Schizosaccharomyces pombe: one gene and its partners. The gene in region 1 interacts genetically with each later gene. Each region holds a gene or a part of one and is shown in the gene's direction. Other genes may lie near its edges. The genes, in order: php5, min8, SPOM_SPAC1F12.04C and ubp11.

Region 1 (6,931 bases):
TGTGCGGGTATGGTTGTAAATTTTGACTCAGCATCTGTTCTTATGCTATCTGTAATCTGAAAGCGAACATTTTCAACATTTCCCTTATGTCCTAGAATCTCAACAGGTGTTAAGCCAAATTCCAAATTCCAACATTTCTTGTCTTTTGAATAAGGGGCTACTCGTTTCTCTGAAACAGCTTTCTGGATTTCGGAAACTAATAGCTTTAACAATCTCTTTCTAGGTCTATCCAAACCGCTTGCATCTGTTTCATTCATCCACTTTGTAGAATAATTAAAGGAAGGAGCAAAGAAAACTGCACTTGATAGGGCAAACAGTTCTCTCAATTCTTTGATAGTAAACGAGACAGAAAATATGTTTCTTCTTCCTACAATGTGTAATCTTTTTAAATTGCTTCTTTCAAGTGATTTGAGGAACAATGGATTAATGTCAGTTGGGGATAATTGAGCAGGATTACTTAAAAGGATTCGAGCTACATCAAGTGAAACATTACCATGTCCAATAACTACTGCATCCTCTACCTGACTTAAATCCAACTCAAGATTTTGATTTCTGGGATCACTGTTATACCAACCCACCACTTCTCGCGCACTATAAACACCTGACAAGTCCTCCCCTGGAATTCCCAGTCTCTTGTCCCCAGCAGCTCCATAGGCAAGGACCAAACAATCATAATTTTTAGTCAAATCCCGTAAAGAAACATCAGTCCCAACGTTTACGTTACCAAGGAAGCGAAATTGTGTAGACTCAGCAATTTCGGAAAACTTGTGTTCTACATGCTACAATAGAGGTTAGCTGTATAATAAATTTAATAAGATCCATTTTTAAACCAATCAATATTTCTTGGCTTAACAGACTTACCTTAACTTCTGGATGATCTGGGGCAACTCCATAACGTACAAGCCCAAATGGAACTGGGCGGGATTCAAACATATCTATTTTGACATTTGGGTCATTTCGTAAGAGTCTGTGGGCTGTGTAAAAAGCAGCCGGCCCAGAACCGATGATGCCGACTACAGGTGAAGAAGTTTGAGTGCTATATGTTCTTTTAATGAATCGTGATAGCATCCTTTCTTAGCCTTAAGATGAAAGAAAAACAAAAAATGATTGAAATGAAGAAGTGAAGGATATCTTCGTGATTGTAAATCTGATATAAAACTAGCAGCAATTATCATTAACAACTGGACTCTCCTCAAAACGAAAAGAAAAGCTACCAATGCTTAATAAAACTGATTCATTAGTTTTAAAGCTTTAAATGTTTAATCTCAATAAACTGTTTGGTGACACCTATACAACTAGTGAATTTTATAGCATTGGATGAGTGGTCAGGTTCAAGCAGCCAAGCCTTTTGAGAGCAAAGCATTTATATGATAAGATCAGTCAGTATTTAGAAAAAGGAAATTTCTTATTAAATCAAAGGTAATTACAAACAGGAAAGTTGAATCAAACGCTACAACAGAACTTTTGCTGATCGTTGCTTACGATATTACCAGCAACAAACATCTCATATAGTAAAGTGCAAACCTTCAAATAAGTGTTTTATGTTGTTATTATGAGTGACTTAAGCAGCTTCAAACTGATTTCTGCAATGATTTTTTTATGATATTTCAAATAACTAGTTAGATGATTGTGGCTCAAATGGTTAATTTGAAAACGATATATTTAAATTTCTTAAAAATAATTAATCTCTGCTTATTCAATCATACTTATTTATAAAGATGCTAAACCTAGCTACTTGAAAGTGTTTTCTAATTCCTACTATTATAATGATAAAACAAAAAATAAGAATTTATTACATTCAAAATAATTCTATTTATAAAGGTCAATTACTCTTTCACGTTTAAAGAACTGTTGTAAGACCAACAAATTGTAACGCGGTAAGCTTTATCTTTGCGAGGACTTTAAAAAGGCGTAAGATTCAATTAACAAGGATGTATTTTAATGTAATTCCTGGATTGAAGTCAATTACTATACGTATTTTCTATTCTGTTTGCTTTAATTACTGAATAATATTTGCACATGCTATTGTTTATAGTATTATATCTACTACCGCGAAAACATTAATTATGTATATCAAATAATGAATATTTACGTGTCGTTAAAGTGTTTTAGCAATTGTAGAAACAAAGTATGTGGTACTATAAACCGGTTCCATCAATAAGTTGTGTGACAGCCAACCATCTTCTGCCAGCCACCAATAAATTCAATCGTACCGATTTTCGCTATATTGAGTGTTTTTGCACTCTATATACTTAATTAAGCCAGGTGTAATACGCTACATAGATAATTCAAGACACTTCGACGAGTTAAGGTGCTTTACTAGTGTTCTTTATTGAAGTTCTTTGTTTTAAGAAGTTAATGTGTTAGAGATACGTTAGTAACTGCACTTGTTGCTTTGTCTTACTCATTCTACGAGTTTTTCGTGAATTAAGACGATTGGTATTTATCTTTTTAGATATTGCAACTAAGCCTCGTGTTTAGCCGTTCGTGTTCCTTTCGATTGTAAAACTTTTTATTTTTTTCTTTCCGTTCCACTCTTCAACTTGACGTCAATTTGTTTTACTTCCCTGTTTCGTCTCCTGCTCACCTCTCATATAAGTTTAATTCCCCATTTTACCGGAGACTACTCCGCTCCCTTTCTATTTTATTTCTACTTATCTTGGTTACGATTTTGTTAAGCTGTACATCAAGGTATTGGAAGTTTTCTTTAATCCGCATCTTTATCGCCTCTTAATATTTAGATTTTCGATTTGAAATTCTTTAGCTTAAATTATTGTCAGTTTCTTTAACAGCTTTGTTTTTAGGAAACTGGTATTTGTTAGATCCCGGCATAGTTACAATTTTTGTCATTGTCGTTTTTTTAAACCTGTCACCAGTGAGATTGCATTGATCTCTTATCTAATTGGCAAAGGCCTTTACGTTTCCAGTTTTCTTTTTAAACTAAATTGCCTTTCTGTAGACTTTTTTTCGTTTTTCAATTAAGATTCATTGCAAAATGAATTCTATTCCTGATTCCTATTCCTTGAAACAAGGCTTTCCCGAAGGTTTAGGAGAATATGTTGATCCCTCTGGCAATCCTAATTCTCAGGTACGGATAGGTTATGGTCAAGATTCTGTTTCTCGCTTCCAACAACCAGTCCCCGATGTTGATCCAACTGCTGTCAATCACTACAACGCTAGTGCACCCATTGAGGTTGCTAGTCCATTTGATAATGTTACTCAAGGTCTTGTTGGCAGTGATGCACAAGCCCTTGCTGAATATTGGCAAAAAACCATCGATACATTGGAACATGACGATCAAGCTGTAAAAACTCTGCATCTTCCCTTAGCTCGTATTAAGGTATGCCACTTTTTCTGAATTAATTACTAACTATTGATTATGCAGAAAGTTATGAAAACTGACGATGATGTGAAGGTACGTTACTTTGAGTATTCGAATACTTTTTGACATTAACTTTTACTAATTTTTTTAGAATAAAATGATCTCGGCAGAAGCTCCTTTTCTGTTCGCTAAAGGAAGTGAGATATTTATTGCAGAGCTTACTATGAGGGCTTGGCTTCATGCCAAAAAAAATCAACGAAGGACACTACAAAGATCCGATATTGCAAATGCAGTATCAAAATCTGAAATGTATGATTTCTTAATTGATATTATATCTAAAGATAACAATAATTCCCGCGCATCTTCCAGTCAAGCTCATATGTCTGCTACTCAAGTTGCTGCTATGGGTGGTATGAATGGTTTACAACCTTTCCCCACTCAAGCTGGCTTACCCAATCAAGGGTTTCCAATGCCAACTGGTAGTCAACTTCCATTTTCAAATCAACAGTCAAGTCAGCCTTCAATGCAGTATTCCTCTCATCCATCCAGAATGCAGCAAATGCAAGATATTGATCAATCTATGTATAAACAGCAGCGTCTGGGCTCTGAATATCCACAACTACAAATGTCAGATAACTCCGGAAATGTTAACCAGATGAATATGCAAAGACCGGTCATGGTAGCACCGTACATGGCTGAGCATTTATACCGTTATCCACCTACGCATCTCGAATCTGGATCCTCAGCTTTCCGATTGCAGTCATCCCCTATGGGATATCAAATGCCCCAATTTCAAGGTAATATGCGACCTAATATGCAACAGTCTCAAATGTTTGATCCTTCTGCATATGGTATGTCAAGAAGACCTGGATCTCCTCGGCAATTCGATCAGCAACAGAGACTTTATTCACAGCCAAACGCTATGATGTATCAAACTCAGCAAGGGCGTCAGGGAAACCCAATGCATCAGCAGTTTTCCCAGCAACAAAACCCTCTTTCTCGCTATTCGCAACAACCCCAGTAATATCTTTTAATACCTGTTGATTTAGAACATGCAATTTAAATAATTTCTATTAAATTATTTGGGAGGATCCAACAGTGATGCATTTTTAGGTGGAACTTTCAATTTGTCAATTTTCGGTTTATCTACAAAAGCTTAAAGAAACAGTTGATTTTCATGACATGCTATGTCTAGTCATTGTTACTTTTTTTAAGCTATGTGTGGTTTTATTTTTTTAGCAAGACCGAAAAAGAAATGACGGAAGCTTTTCATATTTGCTGCCTCTTTATTTTCCCATTGCGGGACTGCTAGTGTAGAGTATTTTGTTTTACTTAAACATATATATGCATTTGAAATTCATTGTCGATAACATTCTACCTATTATGGATATTTACGGGTTGTCAATGTAAATAAATGATGGCATGTTGCAATCGGTTACCAAGAAGCAATTAGCTTTAAACAACGTTTAGGTTTACTTTATAATTAAATTTATTCGTATATGTACTTGAAAATTTGCACTTTTGATGATTTTTTAATTTAAAATCTCATAAATTTTAACTTCTATGTAAAAAGGTATTTAGGCTCATTATGCAAGGAAATTACAGCTGCTTTCATTCCCGACTGCATAAAAAACCACCATTCCACGGCCACCATACTCGAGGTAAAAATGAGTACGGCGGTGCGAGGCAGTTTAATTTACTCCTTCACCAGAACTACGCAGTTGATTATGAACAACAGATAGGCAGAAAGAGGAGAAACAAATTATTCTTATACTAAAGCTTAGAATTCTTTAATCTACCCCCAAACAACAACGAATGGCATCTACTAGCTTTTAAGCAACTTCTGTTCTGCAGAAAAAAACTACGTAAAAAAAGTTGCTAAAACTATCAGTTGCGACATCGCTGCTAACAAATTATCGACTAAACTTGTCGATAATAACGAATTCCCCTAGTAAGCCAAACATAACATTGAGAGGAAACGTAACGATTAAATATTAATTCAAAAAATGGTCCATGTGACTGCTTTTTTAACCGATTCGAGATAATCAGTTTTCATCAATTTAGACGACGATTTCGGCCATCAGAAATAAATCTGTGGATAAAAAGGAACCCCTTATATATCGCTAAAACCGTGACGACAAAACAGAAGTCTTTGGTTTACCACTTGTCCTTAACTGACTGCCTCTTTCATTTTCAACATCAAAATGCCTTCCATCTTATTACTTGGTTCGGGATTTGTCGCTCATCCTACTTTAGAATATTTATCTCGTCGTAAAGAAAATAATATAACCGTAGCATGCAGAACTCTTTCTAAGGCTGAAGCATTTATTAATGGTATCCCAAACAGCAAAGCCATTGCTTTGGATGTCAATGATGAAGCAGCTCTTGAGAAAGCTGTTTCCGAACATGATCTTACCATCAGCTTGATTCCTTACACTTATCATGCAACAGTTATGAAAGCTGCCATTAAGCATGGTAAACACGTTTGTACCACCAGTTATGTGAATCCCAAAATGGCTGAGTTGGAGGAAGCTGCCATCAAGGCTGGTTCTATTTGTATGAACGAAATCGGCGTCGATCCCGGTATTGATCATTTATATGCTATCAAGACCATTGAAGAGGTTCATAAAGCTGGCGGTAAGATTAAGTCTTTCTTGTCTTATTGTGGAGGTCTTCCCGCTCCCGAGGACTCCAACAATCCTTTAGGATACAAGTTTTCTTGGTCTTCTCGTGGTGTTTTGTTGGCTCTTCGCAACTCTGCCAAGTTTTATGAAAACGGCAAACTTGTTGAAATTGACGGCAAGGATTTGATGGAAACTGCTAAACCCTATTTCATCTATCCCGGTTACGCTTTCGTTTGTTATCCTAATCGTGATTCCACTGTCTACCAAGAGCGCTATCAAATACCTGAAGCAGAAACTATCATTCGCGGTACTTTACGTTACCAAGGATTTCCCGAGTTTATTCATTGTTTGGTTGATATGGGATTTTTGGATGAGACAGCTCAGGAATACTTATCTCCTGAAGCACCCGCTTTGCCTTGGAAGGAGGTTACTGCTCGTGTCATCAAGGCTGAATCTTCCTCCGAAGCCGACCTAATCAAGAAAATTTCTTCCATCCACAAATTCAAAGATGAAGACGACAAGAAGCGCATTTTGAATGGTTTGAAGTGGCTTGGTATGTTCTCTAGCAAACCCGTTACTCCTCGTGGTAATCCTTTGGACACCTTATGCGCTACCTTGGAGGAACTTATGCAATACGAAGAAGGTGAACGTGATATGTTAATCCTTCAACACAAGTTTGAAGTTGAAACCAAAGAAGGAAAACGCCAAACTCGTACTTGCACTTTGCTTGACTACGGTGTTCCTAATGGCTACACCTCTATGGCAAAATTAGTCGGCGTTCCTTGTGGTGTTGCTACTCAGCAAATTCTTGATGGTGTTATTAACACCCCAGGTGTTTTGGCTCCTAATGATATGAAGCTTTGCGGTCCATTGATTGATACACTTGCCAAAGAAGGTATTCGATTGGAGGAAGAAATTATTGACGAAGAGTAAGCATGTTTCACGCTTTGGTTCCAAACTCTTATATATAAGTTTGACATTTTAG
Region 2 (6,126 bases), on another chromosome or scaffold:
TTCCCAAGTTATTACCGTTTATATTCATTTATTTATCTGTCGCTAATAAAATTATGTTTTATTGTATCTTAAATGAGCGAGCGTTTAAGCACTACAAAACCTATCGAAGGATTACAGATTGCCCGGAGATTAAAAATAAAAAAAGCAGAAGAAAAAATCAGCGAAACAGTAGTAGCATCGGATTAAGCAATCCAAACAAGTTTTCAATATATATATATATATATTTTTTTTTTTATTCGTTTTTATGCTCACCGTATTTATTTAAATATATATCGCTATTCTAGGATGGTAGTTAATCAACATATGGGATGTATGTAAATAAGAAAATTATAATTCATTAATAAATCAAGAATAACTTTTTGAAAACATTTAGATGTATTTGCGTTTATTACTTAAGTACTCGTTATAACAGTTTTAGTTACTATTTTTTTTGCATCATATACAGTAAAATAGAATTCCTCAAAAATCGATTGTTAATTTCTGTTTAATTTTTTTTTTTAAAGAAAGAATACACCTCTTTGCTTTATTATTTCATTTCCTGTCTTTTTCATTACCTCAGCTCTACTTTCTTCTTATTTAACTTGGTACTATTTTGCTACACCCAACCCTAATGTCACATTTTGAAAGCAAGCTATCCTCAACCAACTACTTATAAAATGGTCCAAATCAGCGAGGTTAAGGGAAATGGCCGTGATAATAGGATTACTACACATTCACATATCAAAGGTTTAGGCCTAAAAGAAGATGGAACTTGTGAATCTGTTGGTGGAGGTTTCATTGGACAAGAAAAGGCTCGTGAGGTAAGCATTCCTGATAATTCTTTAATATAATGTATTCTAATATATTTTCTTAGGCTTGTGGCATCATCACTGATTTAATCAAGTCTAAAAAATTTGGTGGTAAAGGTGTATTGTTCGCTGGAGGTGCTGGTACTGGTAAAACAGCACTGGCCTTGGCGATTGCCCAAGAACTTGGTCCTAAAGTTCCTTTTTGTCCTATGGTGGGAAGTGAAGTCTACTCTAGTGAAATAAAGAAAACTGAGGCTTTAATGGAAAACTTTCGAAGGGCCATTGGTCTTCGGGTAAAGGAAACAAAAGAAGTGTATGAGGGTGAGGTTACAGAAATGGTTCCCGAAGAAGCCGAAAATCCTTTGGGCGGTTATGGAAAAACCATTTCACACGTCCTTTTGGGCCTCAAAACGCATAAGGGTACCAAACAGCTCAAATTAGATCCTAGCATTTACGAATCTTTACAAAGAGAACAAGTGTCAACCGGGGACGTTATTTACATAGAAGCCAATACAGGTGCCGTAAAGAGAGTGGGTCGTAGCGATGCGTATGCTACGGAGTTCGATTTAGAAGCGGAAGAATATGTTCCTATGCCTAAAGGTGAGGTACACAAGCGGAAAGAAATTGTTCAGGACGTGACTCTTCATGATTTGGATATTGCCAATGCCCGCCCTCAAGGAGGACAAGATATAATGTCTATGATGGGTCAGTTAATGAAGCCCAAGAAAACTGAAATCACCGATAAGCTTCGTGGTGAAATTAACAAGGTTGTCAACAAATATATCGAACAAGGAATCGCTGAACTTATTCCTGGTGTCTTGTTCATCGACGAGGTTCATATGTTAGACATTGAGTGCTTTACTTATCTCAACCAAGCCCTAGAAAGCACTATTTCTCCTATTGTTATCTTTGCCTCTAATCGAGGCATTTGTACCATTCGGGGTACTGAGGATATTCAAGCTCCCCATGGTATTCCTACGGATTTGCTTGACAGATTACTAATAGTTCGCACACTCCCCTATTCAGAGTCAGAAATTCGTTCCATTTTGCAGATACGTGCAAAAGTTGAAAACATCATCCTTACTGATGAGTGTTTGGACAAGCTGGCTCAAGAAGGTTCTCGTACTAGTCTCCGTTATGTTATACAACTGTTGACACCCGTTAGCATTATTGCCAGTTTGCATGGTAACAAAGAGATTGGTGTACAAGATATCGAAGAATGTAACGATCTTTTCTTAGATGCTCGCCGCTCCGCTCAAGTTGTTAAATCATCTTCAGGCTTCCTTCAATAAAAATATTATCCTTAATAACGATCTACCCTTACTTATTTCAACTTTTTGGTTATATGCGAAACTAGCTAGATTTACACAGGTTGTGAATATATATACCTTTTTATTTATAAACTTGTAAATTTTTTTTAAGCTTAACCAATTTCTTCTTTTTTTTATCCAGTTATATTCCTTCCATTCCGGCATTTATTTATACTGTAATCATTTATGAATACCTAAATAAAAGTCAGGATCAATGAATTTATTTAGAATTCAATACCTCCTAGGGTTTTTTTACATGCATGGAAAGACTGTATGAAGTACTTTGCAAAAGCTGCAATCATTCTGTAAATAAACTTAAAATATTATAAGAAGGTGAGTTCTTTTTTTTTTTTTTTTTTTTTTTTAAATTTGAGTTGAATGCTATTTATAAATCTTCTGTTCATTTTTGATTCCTACTTCCACGAAAGGACAAGCTGCCACTTGAGATAAGCAAGTGCTAAAGAACGAATAACAGGCAAAAAACTTCAACAGTAACTTCATAAAGCATGATAGACAAAAAGAGTAATACAACATTTGTAATACGCGGAAAAAAAATTCCCCATCTGCGATAACTGTTTCGTCGTCATTTTAGAAATTGATTATTTACATTGCAACACCATCGATTGAGCAATTTTATCAACACACACAGTACTCTTAGCGCACAGTAAGCAACCCCGTTTGTTATGATATATTAATATGCCTCGTTAGTTCGTCAATATACCACTTTACATAAGTGTGGCCAAAGTAAAGCAATAATGACGAGACCAGGAGGAAGGGCAACCCAATATAAGTTGAAGAGAAGACTTTGAATGCTTAACTATTAAGTGTACAAATGGCAGTTTTATCAAGAATTATGAAACCTTACAGGGCCTTTCAAAGGCTTCCTTTTGAGCTCAAACCTCTGGGTTAGTTACTGAGAAAACCGAATTTGTCAAATCACTAACGAATTTTAGCAATCCTCATTGGAATTGCTGGGTCCACTGCAATATTTACCATGGGATATAAGATTTATTCTGATCCTGAAGTATGTACAATTATTTCCAAACTTCTATTACTATTTAAACAACGGCCACTGACCTATATTTACAGATTCGACGCTCACCAAGTTGGGTAGCACAAACACAACAAAAAGAAGAGACAAAAGTTAAGAAACCGCAATTTCATTAAGTGCTGTTAAAATTAGTCTTTTAATGTTTAGTGCGTGGTTGTGTGTTTAATTGAGCAAATTTTCAAAGCAACTTTAGGCCTTCGTTCCAAAGTAAATGTCTCCAAAATCGCCAAGACCTGGAACAATGTATCTAAATCATATGTGTTAAAGATTATTCATGAATGAAATAGCGATCAACTTTGTATTGACCTCATGAACACTTGTAGTGTATCGTGCACATACCCATTGTTGTCGAGTCCCTCATCAATTACGGCGGTAACTATACGTATATTGGGGAAACGATCGTGAACATTTTTCAACCCTTCAGGCGAGGCAATTACATTGAGGAAAATGATTTGTTCTTGTTTGCAACCCATGTTGATAAGAATTTCCATAGCACAAATAGCAGAGCCACCAGTGGCTAGCATGGGGTCCAAAAGTAAGACATAGCGTTTAGAAATATCTTCGGGAAGCTTGATGTAGTGTAACACAGGTTTATGAGTTTCCTCATCACGCTGTATCAAAATTTTTCCAATACGAACAGAACGACAGCATTCACGCAATCCTTGTTCCATACTTTCGCCAGCTCTCATAATGCTAACGCCGCAAATACGACCATCAAACATTACACCCTCGTATTCAGCATTTTGAGCAGTCGTTACCTTAGCTGAAGACACTGGCAAGTGGTTGAGGCCCTCTTCAACAATTAAACGAATGATTCTATTGGCATAAAAAATAAATTCAGACTAAATATCATGTTAGCAGGGATAACAGATTCAACAAAGAATACACGAGAAGTTGTCGAATGTACTAACTGATAATGAATGCTTCCTATCATCCACTGATAAACATTTATCTCCCCATTAATAGAGGAAAAAGCTAAAATTTCTTGGACATATTAACACATTCATTTCAATTAGTTCTTAGACCTTGACTCAGTAATCTGTTGTAAACTGAACGCGCATACACGAGGTTTCGTTTTATCACGAATGATGGTAAACAACCCTTTTAATTGATTTGTCTGATTTAGTACGTACACATTTCCATGCTCAGGTACCAGCGACATCTTTTTGACGATGTATGCTTAAATATCTACCTATCAAGTTGTTTACCAAGTAAATGGTAAAAAGTAAAAGCACAATAACACATTTGCTTTTAAGCTATCAATAGCAAAATGAGTTTTATCAACCTTAGTATATTTCGTTAAACATAAATAAAGATTTACAACATCATTTCATAATAACATAATTATGATTAATGCGTTACTTAGCGCAGTAAAAGATTTCTACTCTAGCAGGCTTGGCAAAATTAAATAAGAATATCAATTAACTATTGAACATATTTTAGGGCAAGTTGATGTTTTTAAATGAATTACTGCTTATATTTAAGAATGAGAAAGACAGTACAAATTTTTGAAGCACACATTCATACAATTGGACTCCATGCAGCTTACAATCTTAATTGGATTTCAATGTTTTTTACTTGTAATTCTCAATTCATCCAACTGTATTCACAAGAAACCAAGAAATGAGTTGTATTGTAAGGATTTTTAAATCAAATGCAGTAAGAACACATGAACATATTTTCATATCTCTTTCATTCTAGACATTTTTTGTACATGGAGAATACAATAAGTACAAGGTCGAAGTCAACCACACTCTAGGCACTCGTAATTCTTAGCCTGTCATAGTGAACAGCGATTCTACCAAACCAAAAACAAAGCAATGAAATGGCTATCTTGCCAATGAGCAAGATATCACACCCATATTGATGGTACATCCGAATACCAACAAATAAGCTTAACACTATCGTCCAATTGTCGGTTCATCAGATGGAATCTCGAAATTCGTATGTTCGACGTCTTTAAAAAGGACAAATATATACAAGAGCATGCCTAGATTTGTATACACTAAGCTCGTCCGGTTTTGCCAAATACAGCGTCTTGTTCATTGCAATGTAGTTAATACCTTCTTATCGCTTCAGAGAAATCTCTTAATTGAAACGACTGAGCATCAACGAAAATAAGATCACCATAAATGAACGGAAACTTTCAACATTTAAGCTCTGAAAAGAATCTTCCTTTTGCAAGTTAGGCCAATAGCAAAAAATCATTCCTTTTCTTCCTCATAAGCTGCTTCAGGGGAATAGGCTTCTTGATCATTTATATTATCAACCTCTTTAGCTTGATTTGCAACAGCATCACAAGCATCAATCCAGTCGCTGTATACGTCGATGGGTGCCGAAAGAGCTTGATAATGTTAGTAAATAAGTGTACAAGAAAATTTCATAAAAGAACAAGAAATAAGAAGATAAAGAGACGATATAAAAGAAATTAACCGCAATATTAATCGTAATAATTTACGTGCCGCTATTGAAATAAAACACCTCTTTCATACCTGTAATTAGACATTGATGACTCTGACCACAAATTTTGCAGTGTAGATTTCCAACTCCTGATTGTTTATCACTATCAAAGTGTTAAAAAAAATGAAAGTAGTTAATAAGCATACAGACTACAGCTCACACTTTTTTCGTGGTTGCAAAATAGGCACGTAAACTAGTAAAGTTAGTAAATTTCGTAATTAAACTATAACTCACAGTCGTATCTAATGGGGGTGCCCTTCTTTTGGGTTTCACTTTTGCTTTTGCTTTTCTTTTACCCATTTGCAGAATCTGTTTACGTTTTGCAAACTGCAGATTCGTATTAGCGGGTTCACATTAGCACTCTCATCCTTAGGAAGGGTAATGCGGAAACTCATGTAATTTCGACACTTGGTAAGAGACGGTCTTATTTAATTTTAATGAATTAAATGTTTAAATATGATATTCTTATTGAGTTTACTGATGCACATTTGTTTCTAGAGTTCTTTCTATTCATGAT
Region 3 (4,971 bases), on another chromosome or scaffold:
TGAACAAACGTTAAGCAACCTTTAATGGAAATCCTGTTGTATCATCCAAGCTTAGTAAAGGTCAAAAAATTACCGTTCAAGTCATATAAAGATACACAAATCTTTGAAATGAAAAAACAAGCCCAATTAAAACAGAAAGATAAAAAAACAAAATTGACGGAAGAAACTAAAATTCGAATCAATCTCTTTGAACATTTGTAGGACATGAAGGTGGAGGTAGTGGAATATCAGTGGGAGAGGATCTAGCAACTTGCTCATATGCAGGAGGACTGGGTCCAACACTATTGAACATTGGGGGGCATTCCTCATCCCAACTAACACCAAGACCACCTCGTTCAGTCAAAGGTAAATTGACCTTCATCCTTAAAATTCGGGCATTCGAGTTTATGGGATGCGAGTTCATCACTTCGACGACTATAGTCTCAAGAATTAGTTGATGGGCAATATATAGAGAGAATTGTCCATCAAAGGAAACATCACAAATAGGCTTTGAAAGTAAAGATGTACTGATAGGGATCTCGAAGATAATTCTATCGCCATCTTCTTTCCAACCAGACTTATGTTCATTATTTCCCAACAGCCGAGTCTCCTTGAAAATGTATGGCTTTTTTGTCCCAGTATGGGTCGAGCAACCATTTATTTGAGCTTTTATCTGTTCTTCTATTCTCCACGAAATCTTCGTTAAGCGCCAACCAACCTTGGAGTTTTCAGGTTTTACACCGGTCAGCTGAAATTCAACAGGAACACAACTCAAAGGGTGAATTACAGGAGGCAGCTCTAAAAGAGCAATAAGCGAAGTAGGGGGGAAGAGACGCTGGGCAATTTTATCAGCATTAGTGACAATAGAGCGTTTCAAGTTTAAAGGATATTCAAAAACAAAATCGGGTTGACTGGGAATCTTAACGCGAGTTTTTAGGATGTAAGTAACGTTTATGAATGGTGAGTTGGTCGTTTGTGGAAAATGTCCAGGTATTATAAAAGTGAATGGCCAAGTATGTGTACCATGAGTATATACGGTAGGTTCTTTAGAAAACTCCCATTTCTCAAAAGCCTCAACCTGAGCTTTGCAATCGGGACAGCTGTCGCGCAAAGGACGCTTTGTGGATATTATGCGGACGAATTCCATGACAATGGATTCGCATTTGAGATCTGCAGGAAATACAGTCAACTTGGCAAGTCCAGATGCTAACGCTCCACTAGAAACATCTGGATTCCCATACATTACCAAAGGAGGAGACTCCATCTGGATGTTGAGTTCGAAAGGTTGTTCTTCTGTTGAAGCATGCTGAAATCTCCTGACTAATGAAGGCATCTTGACGGTTCAGCTAATGACTTAGGAATTAAATATTAAAAGGAAAGAGTAGGAAAAAATGAATCTAAAGAACAAAGGGGGGCCCGATCAGAAGAATTAATATGAGATTGAAATTAAACAAACAGAAAACGGCTATGAAGAGAATGAAATATATTTTTTGGTAAAAATTTTAAATTAATATATATCCTTAACAGCTTCTGAGGTTGAAAGCGACAGCACAAGAGATGAACTCAGGTTTTATGTAGAACGGAATAGGGATTATCGAATTTGGAGCTTACTCCTTAAACGTTTGATCAAAGATAAGCAATTGTGCTTCAATTTTTTTCAAATGATATAAAACAATTGAAAAAACAACTTCCTCTCAATAGTAGTTCGAAATGGAAAAAACAATTAAGTAGCGTTGAATGTGTTTTTCTATGCCAAAATATTTACTCAAATCAATATACAGGAGCCTTTTTTTAGCGTCCAAAGAAATACTTTGCTCACTGTAAGCAGAGCGTAACTATGAATACAGTGCATATAGCACCTCCCTATGAAAAATATACTAATGTAGTAAGAAGAGAAGGTTTTTGCAAAGGAAGAATAGGAAGTGTAGTCTGCATGCTCCCCAGGCCACTGAATGCGAAGGTTTTCAAAGTTTGTTATCTACAATCTTACGTAGCTGTGCGTATCTCAAGCCGACCTAAACAAATCTCGTTATTCCAAATAATATTTATTTTAAACAGTTATCATAATTCTATATGATAATAATCCATAGTAACTAAGCTGTTTTATATGTATCTGAACAAAGGAATAGAAAAAATAAACCCAGTTTCCAAGTTTTTCTTTCTTTTATCCTTGAACATATGTATGTTTAATTCTTAAGATATTGCTACCTAAGGATTTGTAATAAAAAATACGTTATGATAAATATTAAAAAAATAACACATAAATAAGCATATGCCTCTAGAAGCCTAACAAATTTATGTTTTTTATTGCTGAACTATTTTTTTAAAACACATGCAAAAAATGATTTGCCGATACTTTGAAGCCGTCACAGCTGTTTGTTGCAACTGAATACACTTTCCTCAATATCGGAGTTATTTCCGGCGATCTAATCGACGTGATAACTGGAGAAAGTTATCATATCTTATCATTTGTAATTCTAAAAGTAAAATCGATCAACTCATAAAATAACATTTCACTTTGCTGCACTGTAGATTTTTCTTATCAAATCTATTGGTGTACTAAACAGACTAGCTAACGTTTGCTGATCCGATCGACTATAGCAGCACACTCACTCTCTATACCATAAGACGTTGCCGAACCGACATCTATCGTCATTCAAATAATCTTTGGATTTGGTAATTTTAGTCGTTTACATACGCTACTTAGTATTTTTTTGGATTTTACGCTTTTCTACTAAAGTATACGAAAATTAGACTACCTTTCGTGAACAATATAATTGACCAAATCTTAGAGCTGAAATTTTTTGAGAAATATGTCTTATATGCATTCTTTAAACCTGATGCTGCAAAATCCCAGCGGAATTGACAAAATTGCTGCCATTCTTGTCAACGTTGCGAGGTTGGATCCAGCATCTTCGAAATCAACTGCTCAACTGGTTTCTATGCTAAATGAATTTCGATGTATTTTACGTCTTCCTGGTCTCTACAAATTAATCGTAAATTTTCGTAAAGATTCTTCTCCTGAAACTTACATGAGTAACGCAATCAATATTGGATACTATGTCACAGAAGGATTGGCATTCTTAGGCGGCAAACAGATTATTTCCATATCAAAACCGTTGGAAGACAAATTATGGCTTTGGTCTTCTAGATTTTGGCTTCTCGATACTTTATTGACCATTTACCAGCTTTTGCGTGAAAAAACAGAAGACGAAAAGGAGCATCAGTTAGACTTAGCTTCAAACTTGGCTAGCCTTCCTTTGTGTATTCACTGGTCTGTAGAAAATGGAGCTGGTTTACACAAACACCAAATTGGAGTTCTTGGTCTTTTCAGCGCAATTGTACAAACTAGAAAACTAATCCTCTCTTTGCACAATAAAAGAGCTTAGTTACGAATGAGCTTTTTAAATTTAAATAGAAGTTACTTTTTTCATGTAATTCTATTCGTGCTCAACTATTTTTCGTTTTCTCGAATGTCTATGTGAGTAAAGTAGTAAACAAAAGTGGTAACAGTCGTCTTGGTTTTTTCAGCAAAAATCGAAATATGCCATTCTAAATGAAGGGACTGAATCGGTTTAAAGCTTGAAAGGTTTTAGAAATGAAGTCGATTTTAATCGTTAATCCATTCCATTAAAGCGTTTTAAATTTTGGGATATTGATCGAAAATTTAATCAACGGAAAACATTAAGTTACTCTTTGTTTGTCACCAAAATGTACCTTGTCATTTTTTTCTAATTGAACTGAATATCTTTATTAACGAGTGTTTTTAATGGCCCTGCAATTTCAAATTGAGGATGTACGATATCATACTTTTAAGTATATCATATATAAACGTTAAGGAATTATTATCAACTATAATGCACTACTTTTTTAGGTTTCTTCTGAAGCTCAGTACTGTTGAGAATGTTCTAATTACGACTCAAGAATTGACGGATAATAGCTCGAATAATAAATTTGAGGCGACATAAATGGTTACAAGTTGATTAAAGAACATAGAGATTAATACACATACTGTTAAATATGGTTCAATTGTTGAATTCATTTGGACTTTAATTCCAGCTTTAATCTTAATTTTACACGCATCATAATGGTTTCACTCAAAAAATCAGATTCAGTAATATAAAACAATTTACTACTGACTGAGTACAACGATATTTTCATCTAAAAAAAAATCTGAAAATATAAAGAATATTGTTATTTAAAAGAAAGGAGAACAGACTACGACAAATTGAAAAAAATGAAGGAATTGGTAAACAAAATGTATCTATCGAAAACAACGCTGTACTACGTAAAGTGAATACTGTTCGTAACCGCATTCCATACGGATGGCTAGAATCCAGTAACCCTGCCCTAAACTGTGACTGCTTTATCTCATTAAACCTGCGAGAAGTCAAATTATGAGCTACCATCTGCAATCACCATGTTGTTGTACAAGGACGTTATTTCTGGAGACGAACTCGTTTCTGACGCCTACGACTTGAAGGAGGTAGACGATATTGTCTACGAGGCTGATTGCCAAATGGTCACTGTCAAGCAAGGTGGTGATGTTGACATTGGTGCCAACCCTTCTGCCGAGGATGCTGAGGAGAATGCTGAAGAGGGTACTGAGACTGTAAACAATCTTGTTTACTCTTTCCGTTTAAGCCCTACTTCTTTTGACAAGAAGTCCTATATGTCTTACATCAAGGGTTACATGAAGGCTATCAAGGCTCGTCTTCAAGAAAGCAACCCCGAGCGTGTTCCTGTTTTCGAGAAGAATGCCATTGGATTCGTCAAGAAGATTTTGGCTAACTTCAAGGACTACGACTTTTACATTGGTGAGAGCATGGATCCCGACGCAATGGTTGTCTTAATGAACTACCGTGAGGATGGTATTACTCCCTACATGATCTTCTTCAAGGACGGTCTTGTTTCTGAGAAGTTCTAAATGCAAATTTGGGTTCTTATAAGGGAGTTTCTAACTGGGAACATGATATCATGTCTAAATTTTAT
Region 4 (6,627 bases), 1.7 Mb from region 1:
GGGGGGGGTAAAGTGAAAAGGAAAATCAGAACAACAAGAAAACAAAGAAATGGTAAAGGATGAAGATGCAAAAGAGCAAAGAAAGGTTAGATAAGGGGATGTTTACTAAAACATAAAAAAGAAGAAAAGCAAAAAGATGAAGAATGGAAAAAAAGAAAACAAAAATTAGAAATGCAAAACAAAAAAATAAAGTAAAGCAAGGCAACGCAAGCCAAAGACAGAAAAGCAGAAAAGGTAAGGAAGTCGATCAATTTGTAAATGGCGCATTCATCAATATACCAAGTTGTCAGATTAGCAAATGTCAATGTACGGTACGATGGTAGCGGCGATCGCAGGGTAGACAGCGAGATAGCTGATAAAGAAGGGAATAAGTGGGGATATAGAAGGGGAGTGGAAAGAAAGGAAAGGAGGTGCGAAAAGGAGTTGTAAAGTAGGTTTGAAGGATATGAAAAGTTGGACTTCAAAAAAAAAAATTTGTTGATTAATTTTTACCACATCTTTCCATTGATGTCTTTGGGATGTACTTGCGGATAGACGAGAATAGATTTTAACAATTAAGAGATAGGCGAGAGTTGACGAAAACATAAGACGAAATTTTACAATTGACAATCAAGGAGAATACAATCGACACTAGAAATCGACAATCGACAATCGACAATTAACGTTTGACAATCAACGTCCGACGATTGAACAATTTCATTTCTACTAATCAACCCAATTTCTCTTTGTCTTTTCTTTTTTCTCCTATTTCCTATTTCCTATCTCTGTTTTACTTTTCTTTTTTTCTATCATTTGTCTTTCTTTCTTTCTTATGGATCTCCTTCATGCGACGAGACCATGACTTTGGCATGAGTTCTACTTTGCTTTGCTCACGCAACTCTCACATATCACATATCCTCACTCATGCGCTTCTTATTTTCCAGACCTCCATGTGTTCTTCGCATGCGCACCTTTCTTTGTTTACACTCGGCGTGCACAAGTCTTTCTCTACCTATGAGCTTTGCTATTCTCATCCTTCTTTTACCCTTACGATTCTTGACCTTTCTTATTAACGGTCGAGCCTCCGAACTCCTAACCACTACATCAACCATAGGCTACGCTTTTCATAAGCAACTTGACTGCTTGGAGCCCGGGTTTTCCTTACTGACCCCGCAATTCCACTACTGTATTGGATTGGCGGATGCTTTTTTTTTATTCAGCCAATGAAATGAATCAATTGCATCTGATTTGCAATTTACGCAATATAAACTGTCCATTCACATCAACTAACCAATCATACAACTGACATTTGCCGTGTCTGATATCGCTTCAACGTGTTCTTGGGTGACGTAAATTTTTCTCGAATGTAAACAATGCGACAAGCCCTTTTGTTTCTTTTCTTTGTCTGCAATCCCGTCCATATATACAGTCAGAGGCAACACCTAACATACTGACGGCAGACATCAAACACCGATGATGGATGGAGAAAAGAGATAACTTTTTGCTATGCTTCGTTGAATATATGCTTCATCAACTGCCCATCCTTTGCTAGTTTTTTTTTGCATTGGCAAATGAATTTATTATGGTTAATCATTCAAAAGTAAAATTCAAAAGTTATTGACATTACAAAAAGAATGTACCGCTTGTTCTCTTGTCATACCTTCAACGTCTTCCTTTTGTTCCTTCTCCCTTCTCCTTCCTTCTCTTTCCCTCTCCTTACTCTTCCTTCTTTCTCCTTCTTCCTCCCTATTCTTCCTCCACTTCACCTTCTTTCCTACTCGTCCTCCTTGTCCTCCCTCTCTTCTCCCTAACAAATCATGTTGCATCTCCCTAACTGGTATGCGGAGGGCTGCACAAATAAAACTTCATTCTTTTCCTTCTTCCACCAATCGTCGCTTTTACGCATCATTGCAACCCCTTGGGCTTGCCGGCAAATACAAACGTCGCTGCCAATGCAAAAAACCTTTTTTTCGTCTCATCAGGCGCATATTTATGCTGAGGGTTTGGCCCTCCTGTCCCTCTCTTCCAACCTGCTTTTTTTCTCTAAAGGTTGCTCTTTTATACACATATCTGATTGCAAATTATTTGCTTTGTGTCGTACTTGTGAATGAGTGAGCTTTCTCTGCAAAAACTTTAATACCTTTACTTTTATCTTAATTTCTCCATCAAAAAACAATCCATACCGACAAATCGGCACTGCCTCCCCATCGTCTAATCTTACCTTACAAAAAATCCTTCACACATAATCAAGTGAAAAAAATCTCCCATCTTTTTTGGATCCCTTTTTTTTTCTTCTTCGAAAAAACTTTTGTCTGTTTCTTATAGACGCCTCTTGCCTTTTTTCTTGTTCTTGATTCCATCGTAATTTATTCTCTTTGATAGGATCGCTATACTTTTTTTTTCTCTTTTCTTATTTTTTTTTTTTTAAATTGTGCTATTTCATTTCTCTACAATTACTTCCTAACGTTTTTTAATTTCTTTTTCTTTTTTATCCTTTCATATCTTATCGCCTATTTCATCTATTGCGATCGCTAAAATTGCAAAGGTAAAATCATTCTACCACTTTCAACTTTATCTATTTATTTATTGACTCCCTCCTCCCAAAAAGTAATATTTGTGTCTTTTGTCGCATTACTCGACAACATTCTAATTGCTGACACTTTTTTTGACAACTGTTTTTTTTTTTAAATTTGCCTTTGTAAAACTTTCAAACTTTTACTCATCCTATCACTGATTATTTCCTAAAAAGGTTGTTTTATGCTCAAAAAGTTTGGTTCTTATTACCTCGTCTCCCTAACTATACCTATATTGTACGTTATTATCGTGTCCTTTACCTCACCGCCATTGGACTCGTGTTATCGTTTATACCAATAAAGCTAGTAACAACAACCTAGTGGATATATGCTGTGACTTAACGCTCGTCTTCTATTCTTATTTCCCTTGCCAAAAAAAATTTGTTTTTATGCATAAATTTTTTTTTTCTTTTGTAAATTATATTCTCTGTTACCTCTAATAATTTCTTTTCCCTAATTCTTCATTGCATGCATTCATTATCATGTCTACAACGCCATTGTCCATTTCTAGGGCAAAAAAATACAAAACAGTTTTCAAGGGTGCCGCCATTTTAACTACGTTTGCTGCCCTTTACATCGTTACCTCTCCTTCCACTGGCAAGAGGTTGGTGAAAAACGCCTCCATCAAAGGCCTTTACAATGTTTCGGGTAACGATTGTTTCCTCAATTGTGTTTTGCAATCCCTAGCAAGTCAAGAATCATTATTGGAAATCCTAAAACTCCGTTGTTCTTCCTCTACCTTATACGCTACCCTTTATGAACTTCTGCAAAAATTAAATAGTGGCCCCGGTAATCCAATCACTCCCGGTTCCTTCCTCAATTCATTAGAGATTGCCACTAATAAAAAACTTGTTCGTTCCATTCAACAAGATGCACAAGAGTTTCTACAACATCTAGTGGAAACTTTGGAACTTCAAAAACCTCACACTTACAAATGGTCGAAGGTACTCTCCTTTCCTGTAGATTCGCCATTCATAGGAACTATGGAGCAAAAGGTACAATGTTGTCAATGCCTTGCCATTAGTATTAGTTATTCTACTGCCACATCGATACAGCTTTGTCTACCTCCGGAGTACAGTGGAAATTCTAACGTTTCCTTGCTCTCTTTAATGGAAGCCGATCGCGAACAGCACATCTCTGACTATAAATGTGACTCTTGCTTCAAATCCTCCCCAAAACATTCCAAAACTTCATGCATTCGTACCGTTGATTGGAAAAATCCTCCTACGATTTTGCAAATTCAACTTGAGAGAACATCATATACCTGCCAAGGTTTAACCAGAAATAATGTTTCTATCTCATTTCCTAGCAAACTTATCCTAAAAAACAAACATCATTATATTTTACGATCCTTAATCACCCATTCCGGAAGTGTTACTTATGGTCATTATCTTTGCTATAGACTTCAAGATGACATTTGGTGGAAGGCTAATGATTCTTTAATTACTAAATCATCTCTCAATGAAGCTCTCAGTCAAACTCGTTCAGCTTGTCTTTTGTTTTACGAAATGGAATCTCCTCTTGCGCTTGATTAGCGCATATATGCTAGTTAATCGTATACGTTTTTGTACCTTAATAAAAAATTCTTGATATTTCTCCTAATGATTCCGACTGATGTCACCCTTTATAAACTGTTGAAAGCTTCAAATTATAACCTGTTGTTTTGTAGCTAAAGCATTCAATACTAATATTTTGCAAAACTTGTGTATGAAAATATATGTATGTATGTATCCACCGTATCTGTCCATAAAATCGGTTTTCTTGACTTTAAGATTTTCAAGTGGACGATTTTTTATAGGCATGGTTAAAGTACACATGGCACTTTCAAACCGTCGCCAAATGACTTATAATTTACTAAAAAAAATTTTAGATATACTCATCATGTACAATTCACAGTTTTTAATGCATCAAATATCCAAAATGTTATTATTGTCATGGGTTATCCATTTAACCCCAGGACCTTCTAATTTCTCGAATTAAGCATAAGGACCTGCATATTACACCATTTTTAAGCCATTTCTCAAATTTTAAAAGTTATAATTCCGTTTTTCTCTTTTCATAGTCTGAAAACTCTAAAACTTAGCGTGCTTCGAACTGAACCATTCTCTTGGTTCTCATTTTGTACATAACACGATGCCCACACTCTCGACAACGAATAACTTCTTTCGCTTGGATTGTATTACGCGCTCCGCAATCTGATGGTCAGTCTTTTATCATATACTCATTTAATTCTACTCAATGATCATACCCGCACATAAATAAATCATAGTGGCTGGTCTGGGGGGATTGAAAGCGGTACCGCCAGTGGAGGTTGGATGATTCATTTTGTAAACTTTTTTAGTGTATTTGAGTCTAGTTAAATCCTGTGATTTTACTTCCTCACTTGAACTTTCTAATTGTGGTGGTGAGTAGTAGCGCGCAAATTTTTACTACCATACTATTCTCAATATTAACGCTTCAAAAAAAATTGGGAAGCTAATCTTATAATACATTAATGAGTTAAAAGTTCTCATTTAAAGTACTTCAAGTACATTTCCATTTATTGGATATATAAACTTCAAATATAATTTCGTATCTAATTTTGACGTTCTTTTAAATTTAACCTTTATTAAATCTAGCAAAAGAATAAAGGGCTGGATACATAATTTTAAATTTAAATCGATAAATAACTAGATTGTTTAATTTATATTTCATAACAATTATGTGTACGTGTGAGGATAAATACAATAGCTCAAAAATAATGTATTCCCCGAGTTCTCCAATTTTTAGTGTATAAATATACGATTTCTTTGTCTTGAAATTAGTCCTGGTAATTAGTTATATAAAGCATTCAGAAACACTGTATGCATTAAAGGGTAATTCCAATTGAAATAAGTGCCTTTTTTTGCAGAACTTTTATCGAGTAATATTAATTTTCCTTTCATTTTAAAAAAATAGTTTTGACTTCTAACCGCTTTTAGAAATTTAGAGGTTCCAGTAATAGAGAAATCAAGTATGAAACAACTTTAACGTTTATACTATTTCCTAATAAGCGATACATACATTTTTCGGTTACATTAGACTTTGACCATTCGAGGCTTTCCGGGAATCCCATTAACCTGGCGACTTCTCTGGCGGTAAAATACCGAAGTTGTAAAGCCATCCGGTTCCTCTCAAATTGCTCGTGCGTATTTTCATGATCTGACATCTGCAAAATTGAGCCTGCACCTTGTACTAAATGTGTATATCCCCGTGTAAAGCAACAGCAGGAAGAGCTATCTGGCTTAACTATATCAAACTGATGGCCCCATTTATTTAACACAGACTCTAGTACCATATATGAAGACCAATCTCTTTCTATCTCCAAATAATCTCTTATTCTTTTTACTTCGCCTTCTTTTTGCGCTACCTCGCTAAATTGAAAAACATCATCAATACTCCATTCTCCTTTGAAATTGAGCCTAGCCAATCCATACCATCTACTGCGAGAATTAGGAATGTTGAACTGGTTTGGACTCAAAATACCTTCAATTAGGTTGTAACCACAATTCCTCAAAACTTTCCTGCACTCTTCAGCTGCCTTGCTCTCCTCAAAACCCTGAACATTCTCAATTAGAATGTACTCAGGCAAATTATTTACATGAGGAAGCACATTTAAAATATTTAGAAATGCTTGGGAACGAGGATCAAGAATATCTTTACGGTTTCCTATTCTAGTAAAAGGTTGACAACTGGGACTCATAGTCCATAATTTACAGTCAAATGCATCAAAATCCTTGGCCGTTAAAGTTGAAATATCCATCTATAAGTATTAATATAGTTATCGAGTAAATCCTTGAAACATACGTGTTTAGCAAGTTTTCCATGATTGAGGTTATAAATTTCATTTGCCTGTGGGTTGATATCTATTGCACACACAATATCAGCCGGTATATTTGCCAGGTTCAATGCATAGTGCATACCTCCAATACCAGAATATAGCTCCAGGACCCGTAATCTTTTTGTACTAAGCATTGAATGTAACCGAGCATGCAACACTCGGTAATCGTTTAGTGAGGGTTACAAAAGACCTACCTGCATTAGATTTTTTGCTTGG

What was found.
Region 2: mutations in php5 (region 1) and min8 together harm fitness less than expected from each alone (positive genetic interaction), as found in Schizosaccharomyces pombe (one large-scale study listed by BioGRID).
Region 3: mutations in php5 (region 1) and SPOM_SPAC1F12.04C together harm fitness less than expected from each alone (positive genetic interaction), as found in Schizosaccharomyces pombe (one large-scale study listed by BioGRID).
Region 4: mutations in php5 (region 1) and ubp11 together harm fitness more than expected from each alone (negative genetic interaction), as found in Schizosaccharomyces pombe (one large-scale study listed by BioGRID).

What each region holds. Positions count from the first base shown.
Region 1 is NC_003423.3:3,391,765-3,398,695, reverse strand, and holds php5 (CCAAT-binding factor complex histone fold subunit Php5), read left to right. Parts: upstream 1-2,189; 5' UTR 2,190-2,995; coding exon 2,996-3,340; exon of another isoform or gene 3,341-3,385; coding exon 3,386-3,415; exon of another isoform or gene 3,416-3,473; coding exon 3,474-4,346; 3' UTR 4,347-4,792; downstream 4,793-6,931. Other genes in the region: mitochondrial [2Fe-2S] cluster assembly NADPH-ferredoxin reductase Arh1, read right to left, coding at 1-779, 862-1,068; lys9 (saccharopine dehydrogenase), read left to right, coding at 5,527-6,879. UniProt on the Schizosaccharomyces pombe protein: Component of the CCAAT-bound heteromer, php5 is essential for DNA-binding activity. It is essential for transcription activation of cyc1. It is the linchpin that binds to the subunit association domains (SAD) of php2 and php3 to bring these proteins together.
Region 2 is NC_003424.3:4,923,608-4,929,733, forward strand, and holds min8 (protein Min8), read left to right. Parts: upstream 1-2,930; coding exon 2,931-3,003; exon of another isoform or gene 3,004-3,051; coding exon 3,052-3,122; exon of another isoform or gene 3,123-3,187; coding exon 3,188-3,265; 3' UTR 3,266-3,338; coding exon of another isoform or gene 3,339-3,396; 3' UTR 3,397-3,488; coding exon of another isoform or gene 3,489-3,991; 3' UTR 3,992-4,212; coding exon of another isoform or gene 4,213-4,311; 3' UTR 4,312-4,531; downstream 4,532-6,126. Other genes in the region: SPOM_SPAPB8E5.08 (uncharacterized protein), read left to right, coding at 1-284; chaperone, AAA family ATPase Rvb1, read left to right, coding at 657-800, 854-2,080; SPOM_SPAC1B3.01C (uracil phosphoribosyltransferase), read right to left, coding at 3,339-3,396, 3,489-3,991, 4,213-4,311; SPOM_SPAC1B3.02C (Elf1 family transcription elongation factor), read right to left, coding at 5,354-5,493, 5,642-5,712, 5,756-5,802, 5,844-5,909.
Region 3 is NC_003424.3:3,809,463-3,814,433, reverse strand, and holds SPOM_SPAC1F12.04C (uncharacterized protein), read left to right. Parts: upstream 1-2,584; 5' UTR 2,585-2,792; coding exon 2,793-3,368; downstream 3,369-4,971. Other genes in the region: arrestin-related substrate adaptor Any2, read right to left, coding at 179-1,312; tma19 (translationally-controlled tumor protein), read left to right, coding at 4,400-4,906.
Region 4 is NC_003423.3:1,673,984-1,680,610, reverse strand, and holds ubp11 (ubiquitin hydrolase Ubp11), read left to right. Parts: upstream 1-2,006; 5' UTR 2,007-3,034; coding exon 3,035-4,087; 3' UTR 4,088-4,259; downstream 4,260-6,627. Other genes in the region: DNA-directed RNA polymerase subunit Rpc10, read right to left, coding at 4,632-4,747, 4,801-4,876; pmt1 (DNA methyltransferase), read right to left, coding at 5,509-6,333, 6,378-6,545.